3 linked regions of the Astyanax mexicanus genome follow. The protein of the gene in region 2 purifies or fractionates together with the protein of the main gene of each other region. This does not show direct contact. Links are inferred from orthologs where the notes say so. Each region holds a gene or a part of one and is shown on either strand. Other genes may lie near its edges. The genes, in order: pes, rpl7l1 and rexo4.

Region 1 (7,580 bases), on a different chromosome or scaffold from region 2:
TCAGCACCTCCAGAAACTTAAACGAATGTAAAGTATAAAACATAATTCATAATTCTGCATGTGTTCCTGTATAGCTTTAATATAGCTTTTAATATTACATTTAAAAATGCAAAAAAAATGCAAAAAGAAAAAATAAGAATAAGAAGAGATGTCGACAAACTGGTACAAATATATACATATATGAATCACATTCAAAACAGTTAATAATGTCTTATAATACTTTGTTTGTGCAATAGTGTTATTAGTATATCTGAGGTTCTAAAAAATATTTGTTCAATTTTATGTTTTTATTTTATGTTTAAAAACATGAAAGAAAACAGTAGACTATAACAATCAGTGGTATTTTATCCTTTATCTTTTATAGTCACACAGGGATACTGTTTTTAACATATCAACAAAGGAATATGCCTGTGAGTAAACATATAAAAATTACATTTAATCAAAAAAAATGAGGAAATGAGGAAGCACATTGTTATTAGTTCATCAAAGTTCTACCTACAGGTTATTTAATCACTTTGAACCAATCAGAACAATGAAGAAGGCAATATATATATATATATATATATATATATATATATATATATATATATATATATATATATATATATATATATATATATATATATATCAGTGTTTAATAAAATCACATTAAAACATAATCAGCTGGATTAAATCAGTTGGTACTAGGTATTATGCTTGTCCAGTACTCACCTGAAATCAGCCAGGCTCAGGCAGAGCTTCTTGCGAGCTTTATTTCTGCTGATGTAGTTGGTGGCTGACCCACTTTCATACTGCAAACAGAGAGAAACAGGTTATAAACCCTTAATATTCATCCACTGGACAGAAAGACTGACAGGATAAATCAACATTATGAGAGCATAAAGTCACAACCCAATACTTAACAGTTCTAGCAAAAGCTTCACATGCAAACGTACAGCTGCCATACTATTTTACTGCATGATACCAACGGTGTTTAAATGTGCAATTTAATTACAGTCCTACAAATGTAATGTTCAAATTGAAAGAGCTGAAAATTAAATAGCTTAGAACTTGAGGAAGTACTAGCAGATATAAAGCAGGACAGAGGTTTAAAATGTACTGACATCATCAAACCTATAATGCATTATATTAATATCAATACTGTATTTCCAGATGTGCACAATGTTTAGATAATATTAAGATATTCTGAACTTTCTGATGCTGAATGCATCAATAGAAATGTTCTAAAATTACTTCTTTTTTTCCAAGAAATTCTAGTACAATATAAAGAGCAACTGTCAATTCACATTGTCAAAAAACTAAGAAATATTGCATTTGATTTTTAGTTTTTTCATCTGTAACTAACAAAAAGTAAATCATTACAGCAATAGCACAACATGTAGAAAACATCTAGAGAATTAAAAAAAGCACTGCTATGAAAATGAGACATATATAAATATCATTTAGAAATCTGCATGTTTTCAGGAGTTTAACCCATATTCAAAAATATGGTGAATCACATTCGCATTTCATTTTTTTATCTCTAATGCACTAAAATAAAATTGCTCTGCGACTTCACAAATTTTATTCAGTGAGAGTTATAGAGTCAGAGAAAGGAAGAGTAAGAGTCAGAGAGAGTTAGAGAGATGTACAATGAGTCAGTGAGAGAGAGGAAGAGAGACTGACAACCAGAGAAAGAGTCAGAAAGAGAGAGAGATTAAGAGAGAAGTAGAAAACTAGAGAGAGAGTAATAGAGTCGGAGACACAGAGACAGCCAGAAAGAGACAGACAGTCAGAGAGAATAAGACAGTAAGAGAGGTACACAGAGCGAGAGAGGTAGAGAGAGGGGTAGAGAGTCAGAGAAAAAGAGATGTAGAGAGAGAAGTACAGAGTCAGTAAAAGAGAGGAAAAGAGTGAGAAAGAAACAGTCAGAAAGAGTTATAGAGTCAGAGAAAGTCAGAAACAGAAAGAGAGACTTTAAGAGAGAGGCAGAGAGAGCAATACAGACAGACGGAAGAAAGAGGTGGTCAGAGAGAGAGAGAGAGTCAATGAGAGGTAGAGAGTCAGTGAAATAGGTGGAGAGAAAGAGTCATAACGAGAGGTAGAGAGAGAGAGTCAAAGAGACAGGTAGAGAGCTAGAGGGAGAAATAGTATCTGATTTCAACTCTGTTCATATTCTGTGGAAAGGCGTTCCACTAAGTCATGCATAATCTTTCAGTAACTGCTGTTATAGTGTATGACCCACATGTTACAGTATATTACATATTTTTGCACCTTATTCTCACCAAGCACTTTTACTGTACCGTATCGGTAATAAAGTGTTATGTCTGCTAAATGTTTCATGTCTGCTGTATTTATTGTGGTGTTTTAGCTCTATGTTGTACTTTGTTGTTTAGATTGTATTGTTGTTCTATGTTGCACCATGTCTCCAGAGGAACGAGGGTTAATTTAATTGCACTGTGTACATGTACTTAGATGGAATGACGATAAAAGCACCTTAACTTAACTTAGCACCATAACATATTCTTGAAGTAAAGTCTTAAAGTGATCTATAAACCCGTTAAAAATAAATTGTAGTATGCAATTTGTTGTGTTCAGTTTCTGTTAAGGTAGGTCAGGTATTTTTGTGAGCACAGCTCGTGCTCACCATGCAGTCACAGGTAACGTTAGCTGCTGTTATTAGCCTGAAAGCTAACTGTGTTGTTCTGGATATAATTCAATAACAATTTAAGCAGTGTTGATATAGATAAATCTATACAGCAGTCAGTAATCATAGTTCAGCAGCATTAAACAGTTATACAGACTGTCAGTGAGTTTATTAGTTAGTGTTTCAGTAGCTGTTAGTGATCAGGGGAGTTTAAAGGCCCGGGCTGCTGATTTCTCCTCACCTTCTTCTTCTGTAATCCTCCCATGGCGGACTGGAGGTGAGCTGCAGCGCGTTACGGCTGGATATTGGTGTTAAACCGCTGTAATTCCCTGATATTCTGGGTTATTCTGCGTTATTGTTGTTATTCTGGGTTCAGCGCTGCTGCTACAGATCCTGCGCTCCGCTCCACACGTGCGCGGCTGCGTGGCGTCACTCAGCGGAGACCACAGGACCCCGGCATCTGACTGAGCGCCCGAACACGCGCCTGATCAAAAATCACATTTATTTACATTCCGACTCCTATCCTTTTTTTCTCTTTTCGTTTTTTCTTGTACTTTTTCTTTTGTTTTCTCGCCTTCTTTCTTTTGTTTTCCCTATACATTTTCTTTTTCTTGCTTCATTTTCATCATCTATTTTTCATCTTTGTATTAATCTTTTTCTTTCTTTCACTCTTTTTGTCATATTGTTATGTAACTTTTATGTAATCCTGATTTTTGGATTTTGGAAAACAACAACAAAAAAAAAAACAGAAATATGGTACAAAATTTTAACAAAGTATTTTAACATAAATCTATACATTGTTTTAAAAAGAGGGGGTGATATTTAGCAAGTAATTAATTGTTGAACAGCTTACAGCTAGTAAGTAGCAATCAAAATAAACTGAGCTTTGGAAATAAATAAAAAAAAAGTCAAACACTTTCATCATAATAATTTGAAAAAGAAACTGGAAGAAACTGGTACAGGAAGACGTCTGGCTGACCCACATGGAAACAGCTTTAGCCTTTAGCTCAGCTTAACATTAGATTAAGTCTCCGTTTTAGCAGTTTAAAGAGGAATTAGAAGTCTGACGGGTGAAAAACGGCAGTAATTCAATGACAGGGGTGGGCCCTCTGTTTACCTGTACTGTACCTGTGTTTATTTTTGGGCGCTGATATTCTAAAGCCCTGTAGTGCTGCCTGTCTAATTTCTTAGTTGGCCAGGTCAAAGTTTGTCAGTCTTTTAGAGCACTGTCTGGGGGTTAGAACACAGACAGTGGTAGAGTCTTCTATAAGAGTTTATTTTCGTTTTCTTTTAAATAATATGCTTGTGTGTGTGTTGTGTTGACCATGGCACAGTTGTTTCCTGTGTATGAAATTAATACCCAACACGGATGTGCAGAAAAACCACATAATAAGATAAGATGTTTCCAGAGAGTTGGAGAAAGACAGAGAAAGAGAGAGAGAGACCTAGAGAGAGAGAGTCATAGAGAGAAGTATGGAGGGAGATAGAGAGACAGAGGTAGGGCAAAGAGAGGTAGAGAGAGATTGAGTCAGAGAGAGAGGTAGAAAGAGAAAGAGTCAGAAAGAGAGAGTTAGGGCGAATGAGAGAGAGTAAGAAATTGATAAAAGAGGGAGATAGTCAGAGGCAGAGGTGAGGCGAAAGAGATATAGAGCGAGAGAGAGACAGACAGAGGTAGAGCGAATGAGAGGTAGAGAGAGAGTCATAGAGAGAGGTAGAGAGTGAAAGAGTCAGGAAAAGAGAGAGAAAAAGAGAAGGTGGGAGTCAGAGATACAGTGGTAGAGTAAGTGAAAGGTAGAGAGAGAGGGAGAGAGAAAGTCAGAAAGAGGGAAAGATAGGGAAAAAAGAGTCAGAGGGGGAGAGTTCAAGAGAAAAGTATAGAGTGTGAGAGGTAGAGAGAGTGAAAGAGAGAGTCAGAGAGGTAGAGTGAGAAAAGAAAGAATGAGAGAATCAGAGAGACAGAGGTAGAGAGAGAGGGAGAAAGATAGTCAGAGAGAGAAGTGGAGTGAGTGAGAGGTAGAGAGAGACAGAAGTACAGAGAGAGAGGAAGAGTGAGAGAGAGAGCAGTAAAGTGTGCTGGAAGATAACAGAGACCAGTATCTGCTGGGGTCCCGTGTCTGTGGTCAGTATGGGACTGAAGGAGTTCTTCAGGGAGTTCTTCCTGGGTTTCTGGGACTATGAGACTCCAAAGATCATGGTAGTGAAGAACAGGACTCTGGGAGTCATTTACAGAATTGTACAGTTTCTGGTCATCACATATTTCATATGGTGAGTATCTGCATGCCTGCAAAAATTAATAGTTTACAAGCTCTTGTTATCTATTATAATTTCTAACTTTAATTTATGTGTAGCTGTATTATGCTGTATTAAGGTTATTAATGGCAAAGAGATTGAGATATGAAAATGGAAATATCTTGATACTATGAACTGTATACAATTCTTTTTTTTTTTAATTCTGAAGCAATGAATAAAGCAATTGTAATTGCTTTATTGGAATTCTATTAATAATTTATGACTACTATTGACAAACAATTATGAAAGCATTTGGACCCAACAATACAAACTACCAGCTATAAACCTCTAAAATCTATAAAATATCTATAATAAGTTCCTAAAGAAATTGTATAGAGATTGCATTAAAAATACTAGACATCTTTTTTTTTTAAATTGCTTTATTTCTATTATTTATTTGAAACCTATTAACACATAAATGATGAAAGTATTGTGGCACAGAATGGTAGAAACTACCAACTTAAGGCTGATGAATTATCTATTATGATCTGTAACACTTTTTTTAATACTTATTAATTTAAAGTATTTTGTAAGATTGGCTCTAGTCCTACTTTAAATATATTCTGTTGGTAAATTCACATTACAAAATAACGACGAGTAGCAGAGCATGGCTTAGTTGAAGTATATTTATGTTGGAATCACAGCCCTGTTTTGTTGCTTGTGGCTCTCTATTGGGAGGAAGTGATAATTGGAGTGAATGTTTTGTTGTTTCCTGGTCAGATGTTTGTCTCGTCGACTTTGAGTCATAATTTTTGAGCTAACAAAGCATCTAGTTGCTGGTGCTCATGGTTTACAGCAGATCAGTGAAACATGGTGGTATAGGCTGCTGCTGGTTGGTTGGTCAGTCAGCCTGCAGATAAACAGAATCTCTGGTCTTTGTTTGTGATGGAACTGTATCCCGCATTATTATTGATGACGCAGGTGACGTCACTGCTGACAGGAGGAGTTCTTCAGTGAACAATAACATCAAGATGCTACACCAAATAATATGCCTAAAGCAACTTTGGCATTTTAGAGCCTTTTAAAAAAGAGCTTTAAAAAAAAAATAATAATAAGATTTTACAACACCCCAGCTGGCATTTAAACTTTGAATAAACGTTAAATCAATATTGATCATCGCTGATGTTATGGTTGAATCAACATTGAATCAACGCTGATATAGCAACGTTGTTTCAACGTGTTCAACCAAAATTAGAAAATCCTACGCTTAACAGAGAGTTAACAATAAACTTACATCACTGCAGTTAATCTGAGTATAAAGAAAGTTACAAAAAAATACAAAAAACAGTAAAACAAATAGAACATGAACATGATGTTAAATTAAAAAGGAGTTACTACATATAGAAGTAAAACACTTTTTCATTCCTCCAACCAACCGTTTTTAGAAATTATATGGTGATAAAATATAAAATGCTGATTCCAAGGGCAGAATGTTGTGGACATTATGTTGATTCAACGTTAAAATTTCAATGTTTGCACAAACATTTAACATTAAATGTTGATTCAACATTGTTTCAGCATTGAAACAACAACAGACTTTACTTTAGTCATTTTAACGTTGAAGTTCGGTTGTGCGCCAGCTGGGACAGGACAAAACAAAATTACAAAATAAAATCTCAGGATATGACATGACTGAGTAGTAACAAGGATAAGAAAGAGACAAGTCTAAATAATTACATGCACATGAGAAAATGTCCAAACTGTCCATAGTAGATTGAGCAGACATGAGATATATTAGTTGGGGATAAACTCAATAGTAAGTTTATGCCATGATTTAAAAGATGGAACAGCATCACTGATCCAAAAGTGTAGGATGTTCTTATTGGCAGCAAAGGTTAACAGATTAAAGAGTCTCTTATGGTTAATATTTACAGCTTTTTGTTTTTGATTGGCCAAATAAATTTAAATCCTATGTATCATATTTATATGAATTATACCCAGCTTATGATGGCGACTATGAACCTTAGACTTTAGAAAATCCACTGACTGCAAATAGAGTAAATAATAAAGATTTAGATAGGCCATGAAGGTAATTTGCTTATTGTCCAATTAATATTATGTTTTCTATGAAAAGGGGATGAATCTTATCCAATATATAATTATGGTCATAATGTCAAAATTACATCTTAATAAGTTGTTTTTTTTCATAATGTGAATTTGACAGTTGTTCTTGACTTTGTTTGAATGCATCTTGATGAGTGGACCAATAAAAATGCTCCAAAATGACTTTTAAACTTAGACTTTAACTATACGTTCTACTATAAAGCCACTTTAGAATTTCTTTTTCTCTAGAAAAATCTTTATTAATTTAGTTTTTAACATGCCCAATGGCAGGAAAAGTAGCTGCACTGACCTGTGGGACATGTGTGTTTGTTTGCATAGCCAGATGCTGTGCTTTAGCATCCACCAGGTATCATACAGCAACACCTCATCAACCATCTAGACACCCTTAACAGCCTCGCAGCATCTTAGAACATGCTTAGTAACACCTTAGCTACCAAATGATTTACCATAAAAACATATTAGCAAGCCGCTAGCAACCCCTTAACAACCATTACCAGTACTTCAACAACACCTCATGAACCACCTAGCCATTATTTAGATTTTTAATTCATGTCATCTTGCCACAAGATGCTGGCCATTGTTTAGCCTCACTCACAAGGTA
Region 2 (7,480 bases):
ACTCACTGTGCTTTTTTGAGCTCTATTTACCCTCTGGCACTTTATAGCACTATAGTTTTTCAAAGCAGCTGGTATTTGGTTCGTGGATCATTCTCAGCACTGCAGTGACACGTATAAGGTGGTGTGTTAGTGTGTGTTGTGCTGGTACAGGTGAATGAAAAAAGCAGTGCTGCTGGAGTTTTTAAACACCTTAGTACCACAACACTGCCATCAATATTCCAGTGCTCTAACAACTGATATTGCCCCAAAAATATCCAGCCAGAAGCTTCCTGTGGGCACTGATAAAGGGCTAGGAGATAACCACACATGCTGTACAGCAACAGATGAGCTTCTCTCTCTGGCTTTATCTACAAAGTGGAGCAGCTATGTGTCAAATAGAGGTGACAATGAGTGGACACAGTATTTCAAAATTTGAGCAGTACTGCTGTGTCTAAACTATGTGTACCAGAACAACACACACTAACTCACCACCACCAGCATTTCAGTGCCACTGCAGTGCTGAGAACAAACTGCCACCCAAATACTAACTTTTTGGGGGGTCATGTCTATTGAAAAACAGGGAGAAAGGAGAATAATAAAAAATAAATACTCACCTAGAACCCATCAGAAGCATTAAGAAAACAGCGATTATTAAGCTTTGAAAATCAGTTAGCCATTTCCATTTACACCAGCTGTTTGCTAGCATAGCTGCAAACCAGTGTTGTGAGGCTAATAACTAAACTATAGCCACATTTCACACATCCTATCAAACCCAAAGACATACACACTATAACCAAGAATTCAAGGATTCAAGGAGACTTTAATGTCATTCACATCACATGTGGTACATGAGGTGGAATGGAATTGTAATCTTATGGTCCAGTTTACACCCAAATAGCGATTGTTAAAATAGATCAATAACATAAAATAGAATAAAATAAAATAGATAAAGATAAATACAGAAAAATAGGGAGAGAAGGCAACATAGGTAGCAGCAACATGAAGTCAAGAGTGCAAGTTTGCTATAGCAGCATGATTGTGTGATTGAAGAGCAGTAAAAAGATACAGTGTCTCAGTGTGAGTAAACTGACAGTGTTGTTTTTAATATATATTGTGCTTGTAAAGTGTCTGTGATTTCTATGTGTAGTTTATAAGTCTTACAGCTTCAGAAATAAATGTAGTTTTGCACTTGATGCTCCGCAGCCTGAGGGGAGTGGGACAAAAAGTGCATGTGCTGAGTGGGTGGGGTCCTTCCTGATGCAGGTGGCCCTTTTCCTGCATCTGGAGGTGTAGATGTCCGTGGTGCTGGGGAGGCTGACTCCAACAATTCTTTGTGCAGCCTTCACCACCCTCTGCAGAGCTTTCCTGTCTGTAGCAGAGCAGCTTCCATGCCACACGTTGATGCTGGAGCACACGACACTCTCCACCACACATTTGTAGAAGAAAGTGAGGACAGTGATTAATTTAGCTTGGAAATATAGTAAACCTATAAATCATTTTATAGGTCAATATTTTTTTTTTATAAAAAATTTACATTTTTTAAATGTCTGTTTTGTACCAACTAGCTTTAGGTGACAGTTTCCAGTGACCTTTTACAAGGCATGGATAAACTTATCTTTGCCCTTTGGAACAGAGCCATAATTTAGAAACCTTCTTTCTGGCAATTTTTACTAATTAGTTTTTAGTGTCAGGCTCCAGTCTGTGGATTCGATTACTCAACATCCTTCAACCATTTAGTGTGCAGTTTCAAAACTTAGTGCTCCGGTGTACACTCATCAAGCACTGTAGTGCCGATATCCAATATTACACATATAACCTACATATCTGCATATCTTACAGAGAGACAAGACAACCTGGTAAAACTTTAACAATATCAAAAATGTAATATAATAAATCAAAATGTTCATAAATCAATTAATTTTAAAGTTTACAGAAGCGCGACCAGTGTCGCTTGGTCCTTTTCTGGCAAACAATAAATATATCAGCAAGTATCTGTTTGAACTATTGGCCCTATTAACCAATGCCAATGATTATAAAAAAATGTAAAATATCATTGAGCATCACTAGTAAGACCACAACCGAAGAGCCTCCCTTTAAGCAGATTTAGTTTGTCATGGCACAAATTGCATAAATTGTTGAAAAAACTTTTCTTTGAGATCTATGTTGATCATGTTGCTTTATGCAATTTCTGCAGACTTTCTAGGTGCAGGTAATGCTGGAAATATCCCTTTTTGCCACATTCCAAAAAGGCAGGTTCAGTTCATGAATTCATGCTGTTGGTGCCAGATTCAGACTCTAATTTATATATGCCTCAGAAGAAACTGAGATTCATTGTTTACACCTTTCAAAACAAACAATGTTATTTTACAGACAACACACAATTGATTACAGTTCTGTATGTGACTTTTTCTTGTTCTTAAGGAATATCTATCTGCTTGCTGCAACATTTTACAGGTGACGATGCCATTGGAATACAAGAAAGTGTCCAGAAGCACATTCTACTTGAACCTGTTTAACTACATACATGTACAGTAATATGTACCACTCTCCCTAGTTCTATGTTGCTCTCCACCATTAGAAACAACATACTGAAACACTCTCACTTCTAGTCCCACCCAGTTAGCAATAGGTACAAGTTCTACTAGCTTCATGCTAAGATGGAGAATTAAAGGCAGAAACTGTCCGGCCACATGGCACACCATCAATACAGTGTGTTTGGTTTCTGCAAAGAATACTCAATTTTTTTTTTTTATCTTGACCTTCTAAAAGGAGTTCTGTGATTTTTTTACAAGCACGCCTCAGGCTCTACAGTATGGAAGCCCATTTCCACCACCTGAAGAAAAAAAAAACGTCCTCAACTAAGTCATAATTATGAGATAGAAAAGTCATAATTATGGGATAGTAAGTCATAATTATGAGATAGTAAGTCATAATTATGAGATAGTAAGTCATAATTATGAGATAAAAAAGTCATAATTATGAGATAGAAAAGTCATAATTATGGGATAGTAAGTCATAATTATGAGATAGTAAGTCATAATTATGAGATAGTAAGTCATAATTATGAGATAAAAAAGTCATAATTATGAGATAGTAAGTCATATTTATGAGATAAAAAGTCATCTCATAATTATGACTTTCTATCTCATAATTATGACTTACTATCTCATAATTATGACTTACTATCTCATAATTATGACTTACTATCCCATAATTATGACTTTTCTATCTCATAATTATGACTTAGTTGAGGACGTTTTTTTTTTCCTCAGGTGGCGGAAATGGGCTTCCATACTACAGAGAGTACATAATTGTGTTGTAAAATATTTTTGAATTTTGTTTTTATACTTAGAACACACAAATATATTTTAGTTTTCTTAACTGTTCTTATTTCTCAAAGTCTGGATGATAAATTCTGACTGTAACTCCAGCATCAGCTTACCAACAAGTATCAGCTCCCAGTAGCAGTAATGCAGCGCCTTTACTGCTTAAAACCTGTATACTGCAAAATATACTGTAGATATATAGGTATGTTTTCTTTCCTTTTTTCGAAACACATTATTCTACTTTTCAAAATTAAAGGAATATTCTGGCGACGGATTGGTTCATATTATTAATCTGTGTTTTAACCGTTTAGCTTTATCCACGCCTATTCATTGAGGACTTGCTCTCGGGCTCCCTCTAGCGATTCTCACTCGTTATCTGTCTCTGTATAAACCGGCTCTGGCTTGTGAACGCAGATACACAGCCGTTCAGTTCAGCAATCACAGCAAATATGATAGAGTTTGTTTAATGCGTTCATGGACAACACTGTCAAAGGTAAACTTTTGAATCGTTATCGACTATAAATACAACTTAAACTTTCCCGCGAGATTGCTTACTCAAAAAAATGTTCAAAACAAAACCAGCGCTACAAAATATATGTAAAACAGTATCAGAGCTGGAACCGCCTTCCTGACTGTAGTAGTATGAAAAGCTCTGGTCTGACTGTCCACAGAGCAGTTTTACATATCTAGGTAGTTTTGACTACTAACAGGTTTAGGCAATACAATAAGTACAGGTATATAGTCTGGGCATTTGCAGCCTCTTTATTAATATTTTATTATTATTATTATTATTATTATTATTATTATTATTATTATTATTATTATTATTTTATTATTATTATTTTTATTTTTATTATTTTATTATTATTATTATTATTATTATTCGTAGTTGTAGTAGCAGTAAATTAGCATTTTTTATAATTACACCCATAGACACACGCTACACTGATGTGCATGATTTGTGTATTTATTCGTTGTTACTTTTGTTTTATGCTGATTTGTCTCGTGATGTTTTGATTTTTAAAAAATCTGAAATTAAATTTATTTATTGAATAAATGTATTAAAAACATGCCATTTGATTGGTTGCAGGAATAGTGACGGACAGCCGACCCCGCCCCCTGACTGCTGCGCGACCATACTGTGGGAAGAAGCGTGCAGTGTGACGTCGTCTGTGTGCGTCGCGTGGCAAAGAACGATGGCGGAACTTGAGTACGTATCCAGTTTGTGTTGATATTTAATCGGACTGAATCCGCGGTGTTAACGCGCTCCGTGCTGCAGGTTTTTCACTGATCCGGGGGGATAGGGTCTGGGCGGTGTGCTGCTGTGTGTATTTTGTTGATATGGGCTTGTTTAATAAGTGATCGGTGGGCCGGCGCGCTCACATGGGCTCGCCTGTTCAGCTGTACTGTAGACCGGAGCAGCTCCGGCCAGACAGGAACAACTGTAGTTCTCTGAGTAAAACAGTTATAACCGCTAATCAGAGAGCCCTAACTGTATGTAGTGTTCAGGGCACAGTGCTGTAGAGGATGTCCGCGCGGTGAAAATAACAAGGTTTATATTTAGCTGATCTGCTGAAGTGTATGCTGTTCTGTTGCTTTTAAGTTAGCCTAGCCCAGTGAGAGAGGCCTGCACCTAGATCTTCTGTAGCTTCTGTGTAAAAAATGAACTTGGGTTTTTAATTAACTGAGACTGGAGCTGCGGCAGTTGTGCTATAAGCCCTTTAACACCAGTCGAAGTGGCCAGCAAACAATGTTGCCTTGTTTTGATACCCACAACGTTTCCACAATGTTGATGTGTTCTAACACACACGCTGCGTTCTGTCGTCAGATAATGGATGATTGGAACATGTATGAAACATGATTGGGATTTTAAATGTTATGATATGAAACAAACAGTTCAAGATGTGAAGGTTTGTGTTGTAAATGGAGCTGCAACTTAATGCCTTCAGTCTCTGCTTTATATGAATATTGCTCCTGTCTCTAGCTTTCTCTATCACAAACAAATAAAAACTGTGAATGTGGGATTTAAATAGTAAGATGTATTTATAAAGCAGTCTTTAAATAACATATCAAGGTGCTGTACATGGAATATGAGTAATAAAACAAATAACAGCAATAGGCTCAACACCAAGAATACAAACATACAATAAAATAATCTGAGTCTCTCAGTATTCAAATGGAAGTTTATACAAGCAAGTTTTTAGACCTGATTTAAAAACAATATTGAAGTGTCATGGTGAACATTGGGTGGTAGACTGTTTCTTAGATGTAGTCTGTTGTTTCGCAAATGTACGATCATCTCAAAGTTTGAGACAAGCCTGAGGAACAGCCAACAAATTCTAGGATGATGTCAGAGGTTATGTGAGGCCAGTGGGCCAGTAACCCTGTAGCATTTCTTAAGGTTAAAACTGATAGAATGATTTATTGTTTAATTATTTAAACACATTCTAAAACCGTGTGCTCTACTGTAACATCACACATGCATAATTTTATATGCCTGTATTTTTCTCTGCTTCAGGAAACAGAAGGTTATCAAGCTGGTTCCTGAGAACCTTCTTAAAAAGAGGAAAGCATATCAGGCTATTAAAGCAACCCAAGCCAAGCTTGCTTTACTTGAAAAGAAAAAGGTAATTTTCAACATTTTAAGTGAATACTGATTAAATTACATTTGAACTGAGATTTAAACAGAGGTGTGTTTTTTTCTTACAGGTACACAAAGGAAAATCCCTAAAGTTTGTACGCCTTGAAGAGTTTCAGAAGAACAGCAAAAAGAGTCATCGGGATGACCTCCGTATACACAGAGCCAAGCAGAGGCCTCCCCCTCCAATGCCACCAGCCAAGAACACTTTGGCTTTTGCTGTCCGTGTTCGAATGTAAGCTTCATTTTTCTGACATCATGAAAATATAATTTCTTAAATTTGCAGTTTCTCCAGGTGCTTGTTTATCTGTGTTTGTCATTTGTGTTTACATTTTGTTTGCTTATTATTCTACCATAGGATCAAAGGTGTCAGCCCCAGGGTTAAGAAGGTCATTCATATGTTGAGGCTACGGAAAATCTTTAGTGGTACCTTTGTCAGAATCAGCAAGACATCACTCAATATGCTCAAAATTGTGGAACCATATGTGGCCTGGGGGTAAGATGTTCTTTGAATGTATCAAGACGGTGAAAAGTTTTATTGTTATTGTTATCCTTGCAGATAATCTCACCTTTTTTGTATTTTTTGACAGGTTTCCCAATCTGAAGTCTGTTCGTGAGCTCATCTTAAAAAGAGGCCAGTTGAAGATTAAAAAGAAAAAAATTCCTCTTACAGATAACACGGTTATCGAGCAGCATCTTGGTAAGCATTGTGACAGTGATCAGTTATTTTTGCATTCCGTAACCCCATATCATTTTAGCATGTGAAACGATAACTTCACAATAGCCACTGATTTTGGGGCTGTAGTAGGTTGTCTCTTGTTTCTGTGTATTTAGTGTTTCCTGAATAGTTTCTGACTGTAAAGTGTTTTGTAAATTTGTCAAAACAAATTAAACAGCAAATCATTTACTAGTAAACCAACCCTTTTACCTTGTTTACCTTTGATGAAATCTAAGAAAGTGTTCTTACTTGCATTTTTAATGTCTGACCATGTATGCTCATTTTCAAAAGTTTTAAATTTCAGTTGTCTGTTTTAAATTTACTAAACACAATCTCTGTTCGATCAATAAAGGGGAGCATGGAATCATCTGTTTAGAGGACCTCATCCATGAGATTTACTCCACTGGCAAGCATTTCAGGATGGTGAACAGGCTCCTCTGGCCATTCCGCCTGTCAGTACCACGACATTCTGCCAGAGATAAAGTCGGCCTTTTGAAAGAGATGGGGGATCCTGGACCTAGAGCTGAAGACATTAATTCAGTCATCAGGAAATTCAACTGAGTTGAGCTCATAATGTACTGCTTACAGGGCCAGTTGCTGGAAAGCCCATACAGCCTGTCTCACCAAAAACAGATTCAGTGTCCGGAGTATTGGACCAGATTCTTCTCACTTCTTCCTCAAAGAGGATTACTGGACCAGATTTATTATGAACTGTTGAATGGTTGGTAACCTGATTGTAAGGATTGAACTGTGTTTACCATGGTGTCATAGGTCACACTATTTAAATGTCAATGTGCTTTGTAATGAGCACTACTTGTC
Region 3 (7,641 bases), on a different chromosome or scaffold from region 2:
TGTGTGTGTTTGTGTGCAGGTCAGGCTGGGTTTCCTGTCTACAAATACGTGCCGTACGGGCCAGTGAACGAGGTGATCCCATATCTGTGTCGCCGGGCACAGGAGAACCGTGGCTTCATGAAGGGTTCACAGCGAGAGCGCAGTCTGCTGTATAAGGAGCTCAAACGCCGTCTTTTCAATGGCCAGTTGTTCTACAAGCCTGTTTTCTAAGGAACTGCTCTGTAGACCACTGTACTATATATAATTCATCCATTTGCTATATAAAAAAAGTGTTTTAGGCTACATTTCTGAAGACCACCTTTCTATTATGGACTAGCCTATTGAAAAGCTGCTGTATGGATCATTTTCCTATTGGAAACTAGTCTACAATAGACCAGTCTGCTATTATAGACTAGCCTGCTTGACAGCTGCTTGACTGACCCATTTACCAAAATGCTGCTCTATTAATCTAGTATAGATTGGTCTTCTAGTATAGATAGGTATTGTCTAGCATAGAGAATCAAATGGATTTATCAACATATATAATAACTGGTTCTATAGACCTCTGTAGTCTTCTGTTGTATACCAATCTGCTGTAGGCTACTCATCTGTTTTAGACTAGACCACTTCAAATCTTTTTTACAGACCAGTCAGCTGTGGACCAGTCTGTTTTAGAGTAATCTGCCTTGAAGTTGCTCCACAGACCAGTCTACAGTAGATCAGTAGATTCTGTGGACTAATCTTCTTTTGTAGACCAGCCTTTTTAGCTCAGTCTGCAATTCTTCAGTAATCTGTTGTCTTGTTTTACATACTAGCTCACTTAAAAGCTGCTCTGTAGACCAGGCTATTGTTGATCAGTCTTTTATTCGGGCCTACTCTATTATAGATAGGTTTATTTAAATCTTTGTTCTGTACACCAGTTTGTGCCTTCTACAGACCGGTCTTTTATTGTGTAGACCACTCTGTTAAAATTGGTTGTATTGGCTGTAGACAAGTTGTTGGTTGTGGACAAGTCTGCTGTACAGGAGTCATATGTTGTTGAATACTTCTTTAGAACACCTTTTATTTTAGAATATACTGAGCTCCTTATGTAACAAGTCTGTTATTCACCAGTTAGTTTTCTGTTGCCTTTTATTATTGAATACACTTCTCAAAAAAATCTAGTCTACAATAGCCTAGACATGGTCTACTTTGATGCCACTCTAATGCAACATCTCTATGCAGTCACTTCTCTTCACAGCCTCTATAGTAGGGCTGATCACTCTTATCCATAATGGGATGCAGGTACCTCAGCCTTATTCTGGGCTACCTTCCCCCTCCATAAAACTGCACGACAGATGATCCTGATATCATCATACTCCACATTTAACTAACTAATATGGCGTGTCCAACACCTTCACGAGTCCCTGTATTAATGCAAACAGTGTTTTAACTGTTGTTCTTTATCTAATTACTCCAGCAGATGTGATTGAGTGATTTGCAAGTACAATACTGGGTACAGTAAGAGCTTGGGGCATACTGATTAGAGACTTGGCAAGGTGTCCTAGTCCTGAAGAGTTATTGTTTCGTGTCCCAACCATGAGAAATTTGCCAGGTTCACACGGTTCTGGGTCAGAGCTCAGCACAGAGTAGTTCAGGGTCATCACCCTCGTGCCTTAGAGTGAAAACTCAAGCCTCACTCTATTTTATTCAAACTGCTGATGTTTGGAAAGAGAGAGAATAATGAAAGGAGCATGAAATGATGAAATGAAATGAGCTTAAGAGGCTTTCCAGTCCCTGTGCTCTAAAGTACAGAACCTGGAGAACTGTCAGTCATTCCACTTGAATATAGCATGCCTACTCCAATCCCAAATACCCTCACCCCACCCACCACTGCCACCCCTGTGTATTTAGCAGTTTAAACTTATTTTTAAAAAATATTTTATTTTTCTTATTTATTTCTTTGGTGTTTTTCTTTTGCTTTCTATTTTTACATGAATGCCTGTTGAATTTCATGTTAAATATTTAATAATTTGCATCACAAAATGACCCATTTTGTCAAAGTTTTAACTTTGTAACTCCAAATATGACTTGTTTTTAAAATATTGAGGTAGTATAAAAAATATAATTTATATTCTGAAAATGACAAAAATGGTAGAGAAAGTATTTTTATTTACCATGTGTATTTAAAATGTAAGGTAACAAGTTGACATTTTGAGATAATCAGTCATATTCTGACCTGGCAGAAACATGTTACTTTATTTTTTTTTAACCCTTTCTGTGTAGGGGTGTGCATATGTGTGTTTACATGCAGTGGTTTAGCAGTTGTTAAAAATATTGATAATAGCTGCTCTGAGATTTTTCTTTTCAAATATATACATTAATAAAATATACATGCTCTTTGAACAGTGATGAATGTGAGCTTTTGGGTGAAGAAGGCTGAGAGAAAGGACCTATTCTTTTACTTTTATTTTTGTATTTTTTTCTGATGTTGAAGCTGAATATTGAAATGCTTATTGTATTTTGTATGTTTTTGTGTGTTTGAGGGAGAGAGAGTAGTCTGATGATTTATAATAGAATGACATGGAATTAATTTGCTGTAAAGAAGGATTGCTGTATGTGTAAACGTGTATAAAATAAATTGTATTAAAAAAACTAAATGCCTGTATCTGCAGTAGCTTTGGCTTTAACATATAGTAACAACATTGAGAATACTATGAAAGTTATGTTTCTGCAATCATTCATTTTATTAGCTACTTTAATTCATTCATAATTAAGTCATTCTTAGCACTGCGGGTACATTGGCATGGAGGTGGTGCTGCTAGAGTTTTTAAACACTGTGTTGAAAAGGACAAACTTATCTGGATATTTCTAGTTTGTGGGTTATTTTCCTAAGTCCAACATTGAATGTGAGGTGTTTAAAAACTTCTGCAGCACTGCTGTCTGATCCACTTGTACTACAACACCACACACTATCACCACATCAGTCCCACTGCCATGCTAAGGATCTAAAGATTAGCCACAATGATCCATAGTGATTCCTACTCTGCGGCATGCCCAGGCAGTTGGAACTGCTGTGAGTTCTTTTAGAAGCCCATTATTAGAATACCAAAATTCCCTCATTTGTTTTTCTGTATATTTGATCTTATTGTAACAATGACTGAGGAGGTCAATCTCAACACTCTTTCTTGTTACTTATAATATTTCTTAGATCTTATTTATTTTTAAAATACAAGTTTTGGGAAAATTACTAAAATGTGTTCTCATGTTATTAGCATAGCCACAATTTAGCTATTTTCATGTTTTTGCTAAAAACTCAGTCACTCATAACATAAAGAGTAACAGGACTAACAGGGGTCAGGGGTGAGCTCCAGTAACAAACCTGAAATTGATCAAATTTATTATCATGCAATTTATTAAAGAAATTGATAAATAATGAACCAAACAGAATAGGAAAAAGGTTTTTACATTAACTAATATTTATATGAATAAATCAATAAACCAGGGAACTCTACTCACTCCTGTTACTGGAACTCTCTCCTGTTACTGGCACTTAGTCCCGTTACCGGCACCCAGTCCTGTTACTGGCACTTACTCCTGTTACTGTCACTCAGTCCTGTTAATCTTTATGTTATGGGTAACAGGACTAAGTTTTTAGCCTAGAATTAGCAAAAACATGAAACATGGCCATGCTAATAGCAAACGTGATTTTCCCAAAATTTGTATAAAATAATAATAATAAGATTTAAGAATTAATTTAGGAACAAGTGTCATAAGTAAGTCATAGTTACAATAAGATCAAATATACAGAAAATCAAATGAGGGAACTTAATTTTGGTCTTCTCATGGTCTTCAGAGGAACCAGCTATTGTCACTTCCTGTTGTAGATGTGACTTGTAGAATGTTCCAGATTTTTCAGATGGTAATATAAAACCCAGGGACACAACTAAAATGTGCATATTATCTTAAGGATTAATTATGAAAAAATTAAAGCATACATGGGATTTGGAATCACACAACTATGTATAAAAATTTTATCTGAAGAATTTTAATAATTATATTTCATGGTAAAGTTTATAGTTTGAGAGTGGGGACAGCGTTCTAAGTAGTTTTTTTTTTTATTAATGTTTTAATTACAAATCTTACTTTTGCAACCAGGTCAAGGTACAAAAAAACTATGCTAAATAATAAAATTTATTAAAAAATTGTTTTGTGTGTACATTTATACATGTAATTTCTTGGGGACAGAAATGGCACAGATCCTGCGGAATATGCCTCGTAGTTAATAAGGAACGACAACAATGTATTTATAAGAAACATTATTAAGATGAAGAGGGTACAATTGTTTAACTTTTTAATTAAATAACACATGGAGAAAATAATGTTTAAAAAGTGAAACTGTGACATCTAGTGCTAGACCTCGGGTAGAGCAGTAACTATTATGTAAACTATTATGGGAATTACAGTGAAAATCATCTAATCCCCTAATAAAACACAAACCTTTAGATACTTAAGATTATTACAGATATTTAAGAATATTCCAATACGACGTTAATGTGTTTATAGATCGTACAGTCCGATTAAACCTCGAGTACTAATTTAATTCAGTTTATTTCCAGAATTCTCCACTGGGAACTCAGAGAGCCGCGCTCAGGACCCTTTACCCGCCGGGCCGCTTTAGATGTTACACACAACTGAAACACGCATGGTGGCTGCGTGGATCAGAACCGATCTGTAAGAGCGATTTAAACCTTTCTGTTAGACTGATTTTCTTAATTAACGTGTTTATTTAAAAAAAAAAGATTTTTTTATTAGACACCGATTACCCCGCCAGTCTCCTTCATCGGGCTGGTTTCTGTAGTAAAGGAGCAGAACTCCAGAGTTGTGTGTGGAGTTGTGTGAAGTTGATATGGAGGAATAAGCAGCGTCTTTAAGCTTCACAGTTTAGTCGATTTGATGACTTTAAAAGAACATCTAACGATGTCTAAAGGGAAGCACAAAGGACCCAAGTCTGATGTTCGTGCTGCAACAGAGAAGCAAGCTAAAGGTCCGGATAAAAAAGGGGAGAAAAAGAAGAAGTTTTTCTTTCAGCGCGTGGACAAAAAATCTAAAGAGAAGAAAATACAGATCCTGCCACCTAAAGAGGCGCAGCAGTTTTCATCTAACTGGAAAAGCCTCCTGGAGGTGAGCTACTAAATGTTCTTCCTTGCAAAATCCATTCCTCGTTCTGTTACAATTAATGTCAATGTTCAAAACAGATTTTGAATCCTTTATATCATTCATATACAGTTCCAGTCAAAAGGTTGGACACACCTCTTCTCATTGAATGTGTTTTCTTTCTTTTAATGATCTCTTCATTGTAAATATAATATTGAAGATTATATTTAAGCTATTCAGAAACACATGTAGAATGATAATTGTAAACAAAAAGTGTTAAACAAACCAGAATATGTTTTGTACTTTAGATTCTTCTAAGTGGCTAGCTGGTCAGCTGGAATAGTTTTCTCAGTGTTTTGTGAAGGCTAAACACTTTTTTATTATTGTTTACTGTAATTCCATGTGTCCCTTAATTGTTTTTAATGTCTTTAATATTAATCTACAAAGTCCAAATTTAATTAAATAAAAAACATTGAGTGAGAAGGTGTGTCCAGGTGTGTTTGACTGGTACTGTATTTAAATTTTTTTTAACAGTTTTTTTTGTAAGAATCTGCAGGCTTAACTTTTAAGAGAATTCTGTCTCCTTATACTTGGCTAGGTTGATATTTGTCCCTTCCTTTTGTGTGTCTTGTTGTTAATATACACAGTACACAATAAATACAACAGACGAGACAATGTAACAGACCGGACAGTGCAGTACCAATACGGTGCAATGAATGTTCTGGGGAAGATAAGGTGCAGAGATATGTAACATATAGAAAATACATGATCACAGCAGTTACTGAGGTAGAAAGTTTATAGTTCTATAGAAGGAAGCGGGAAAGACTACTGATAAAGACATTTCAGTCTATTTTTGTGTGTGTGGAGAGATTGGTGGTTTAAGTACATGATGTATCAGTAAGCCCAAAAAATACACTCGATTAACAAAGGCATGTCTAAAGTGGAATGTGAACACTAGATTTAGACTGGCAACTGTAAACACAAGTTTAATGTCCCAAAAGTGATTGAAATCAAAGGTGAGCAAAAATGAATAATATATCAATATTGTATTTATCATTCTGGGCCTTGTTTTAAGTATGTGTATGTTTGCAGCTTGCACATTACAGTCTCCTTGTAGGTCTGTCTAAAATGTAGCCTAATATTGGATTTATATGGAGTTTCTGGATCCCCACCAGAGAGAATATGTTGCTGCATTTTTATATTTTTTGACTGACATTTTTTATTGTGCCTTCTTTATAATGCAGGTTCTGAACTCTAAACAGGGTGCAGACGGTAAGAAGGACTCTTCACAAAAACAAGTACAATCTAAAGCACCGAAGCCTCAGTCAGCAGTAAAGAAAGACTTCCACAAAGCTCAGCGAAAACCAGATAAACACATAAGCAAAACAGGACACGGACCAAACAAGGACCTTAAGACACCACAGAGTGTGAAAACTGAGAAGCCAGAGACGAGCAGTGTCCAGCAGACCAGCAAAAGTCCTTCAGCACCCAAACAGCATAAAGCTGAGAAGAGGAAAGCAAAGGACTGTGAAGGAGGACCTGAGAACAACAAAAAGAAGAAAGTGGAAGAGGTGGAAAAACAACCAACAGAGTATGTGTTCATGTTTTTTTATCACAATCTATAGAATCTGAAAAAACATCAGACTTGTCATTCTTAATAATGGATGCTATGATATCTACTTTGTCTTCATTTCAGTTGATAAAAGACAATTCCAATATCGATATGATCAGTTTAGATGCCTTCACCTCTGCTTTACATCATTACGCACTGATGTAGTCAGGATATGAAAGCATATTTTTTTTGCTCTTTCTGCTCATCCTTATTTCAATAAACAGCAGTACATCACCAGTCGGTGACAGATACTAAAGTAGCGTAAATTAGATCATATCACCGTTTTTTGAAACATGTTTCCTTGAGATATATATTGATACAATATCTAGTATATAATAAATAGTATATTGTTGTATACTGTATAATATACAGTAGGAGTGTAACGGTACAGAAAATGTACGATTTGGTTCTAATCTCGATATAAACCCCATGGTTCGGTATGTTTTCTGTACGGTTGGTGGAAAAAATTAAGAGGCTGGGCATTCTGTATAGCCTCTCCTTTATTAACTTCATAATAACAATTAATCTTCATTATCATGTTTTATTTTTTTGGATGGTATGTTGTAACGGAGCTTAAGCCCTTTTATTAAATGCTTGAAACCAGGGTTCTCATGAGAGGCTTCATCTTTTAGATCTTGTTGGAACAAACGCATCAGTCTTCAGTTATTTTTAAAAAATCTCAGCATTGGGTCACATAAAAATGAATTAAAATCACGATTCATTATTTTTTATGCTGGAATAGTGTAGTGTGGTCTGGCAGACTAGATCTTTTTGTTCTGTATTATAATATGTGAGAGAGAGAAAGAGAGTGTGTACGAGTGAATTATCTGCATTTCTATGTGTGCTTTCTACTTGTGTGCTCCAGCCTGCACTGTTTCCAGTCAGAGCAAAACTTCTCAGGACAGGCTATGGGC

What was found.
Region 1: the proteins of rpl7l1 (region 2) and pes purify together in Homo sapiens (affinity purification with mass spectrometry; 4 studies listed by BioGRID and IntAct, counting the BioPlex papers as one, with this or other methods). This does not show direct contact. The link is inferred for Astyanax mexicanus from reciprocal best matches to the Homo sapiens genes RPL7L1 and PES1.
Region 3: the proteins of rpl7l1 (region 2) and rexo4 purify together in Homo sapiens (affinity purification with mass spectrometry; 3 studies listed by BioGRID and IntAct, with this or other methods). This does not show direct contact. The link is inferred for Astyanax mexicanus from reciprocal best matches to the Homo sapiens genes RPL7L1 and REXO4.

Annotation. Positions count from the first base shown.
Region 1 is NC_064429.1:31,266,316-31,273,895, forward strand, and holds the start of pes (pescadillo), read right to left. Parts: upstream 3,069-7,580; 5' UTR 2,892-3,068; coding exon 2,868-2,891; intron 792-2,867; coding exon 712-791; intron 1-711. Other genes in the region: p2rx2 (P2X purinoceptor 2), read left to right, coding at 4,752-4,891. UniProt on the Homo sapiens protein: Component of the PeBoW complex, which is required for maturation of 28S and 5.8S ribosomal RNAs and formation of the 60S ribosome.
Region 2 is NC_064408.1:58,096,628-58,104,107, forward strand, and holds the start of rpl7l1 (60S ribosomal protein L7-like 1), read left to right. Parts: upstream 1-4,415; 5' UTR 4,416-4,501; coding exon 4,502-4,515; intron 4,516-5,823; coding exon 5,824-5,932; intron 5,933-6,014; coding exon 6,015-6,178; intron 6,179-6,301; coding exon 6,302-6,439; intron 6,440-6,533; coding exon 6,534-6,643; intron 6,644-7,013; coding exon 7,014-7,222; 3' UTR 7,223-7,480.
Region 3 is NC_064424.1:25,787,999-25,795,639, reverse strand, and holds the start of rexo4 (RNA exonuclease 4), read left to right. Parts: upstream 1-4,620; 5' UTR 4,621-4,914; coding exon 4,915-5,142; intron 5,143-6,359; coding exon 6,360-6,706; intron 6,707-7,641. Other genes in the region: prodha (proline dehydrogenase 1, mitochondrial), read left to right, coding at 20-210.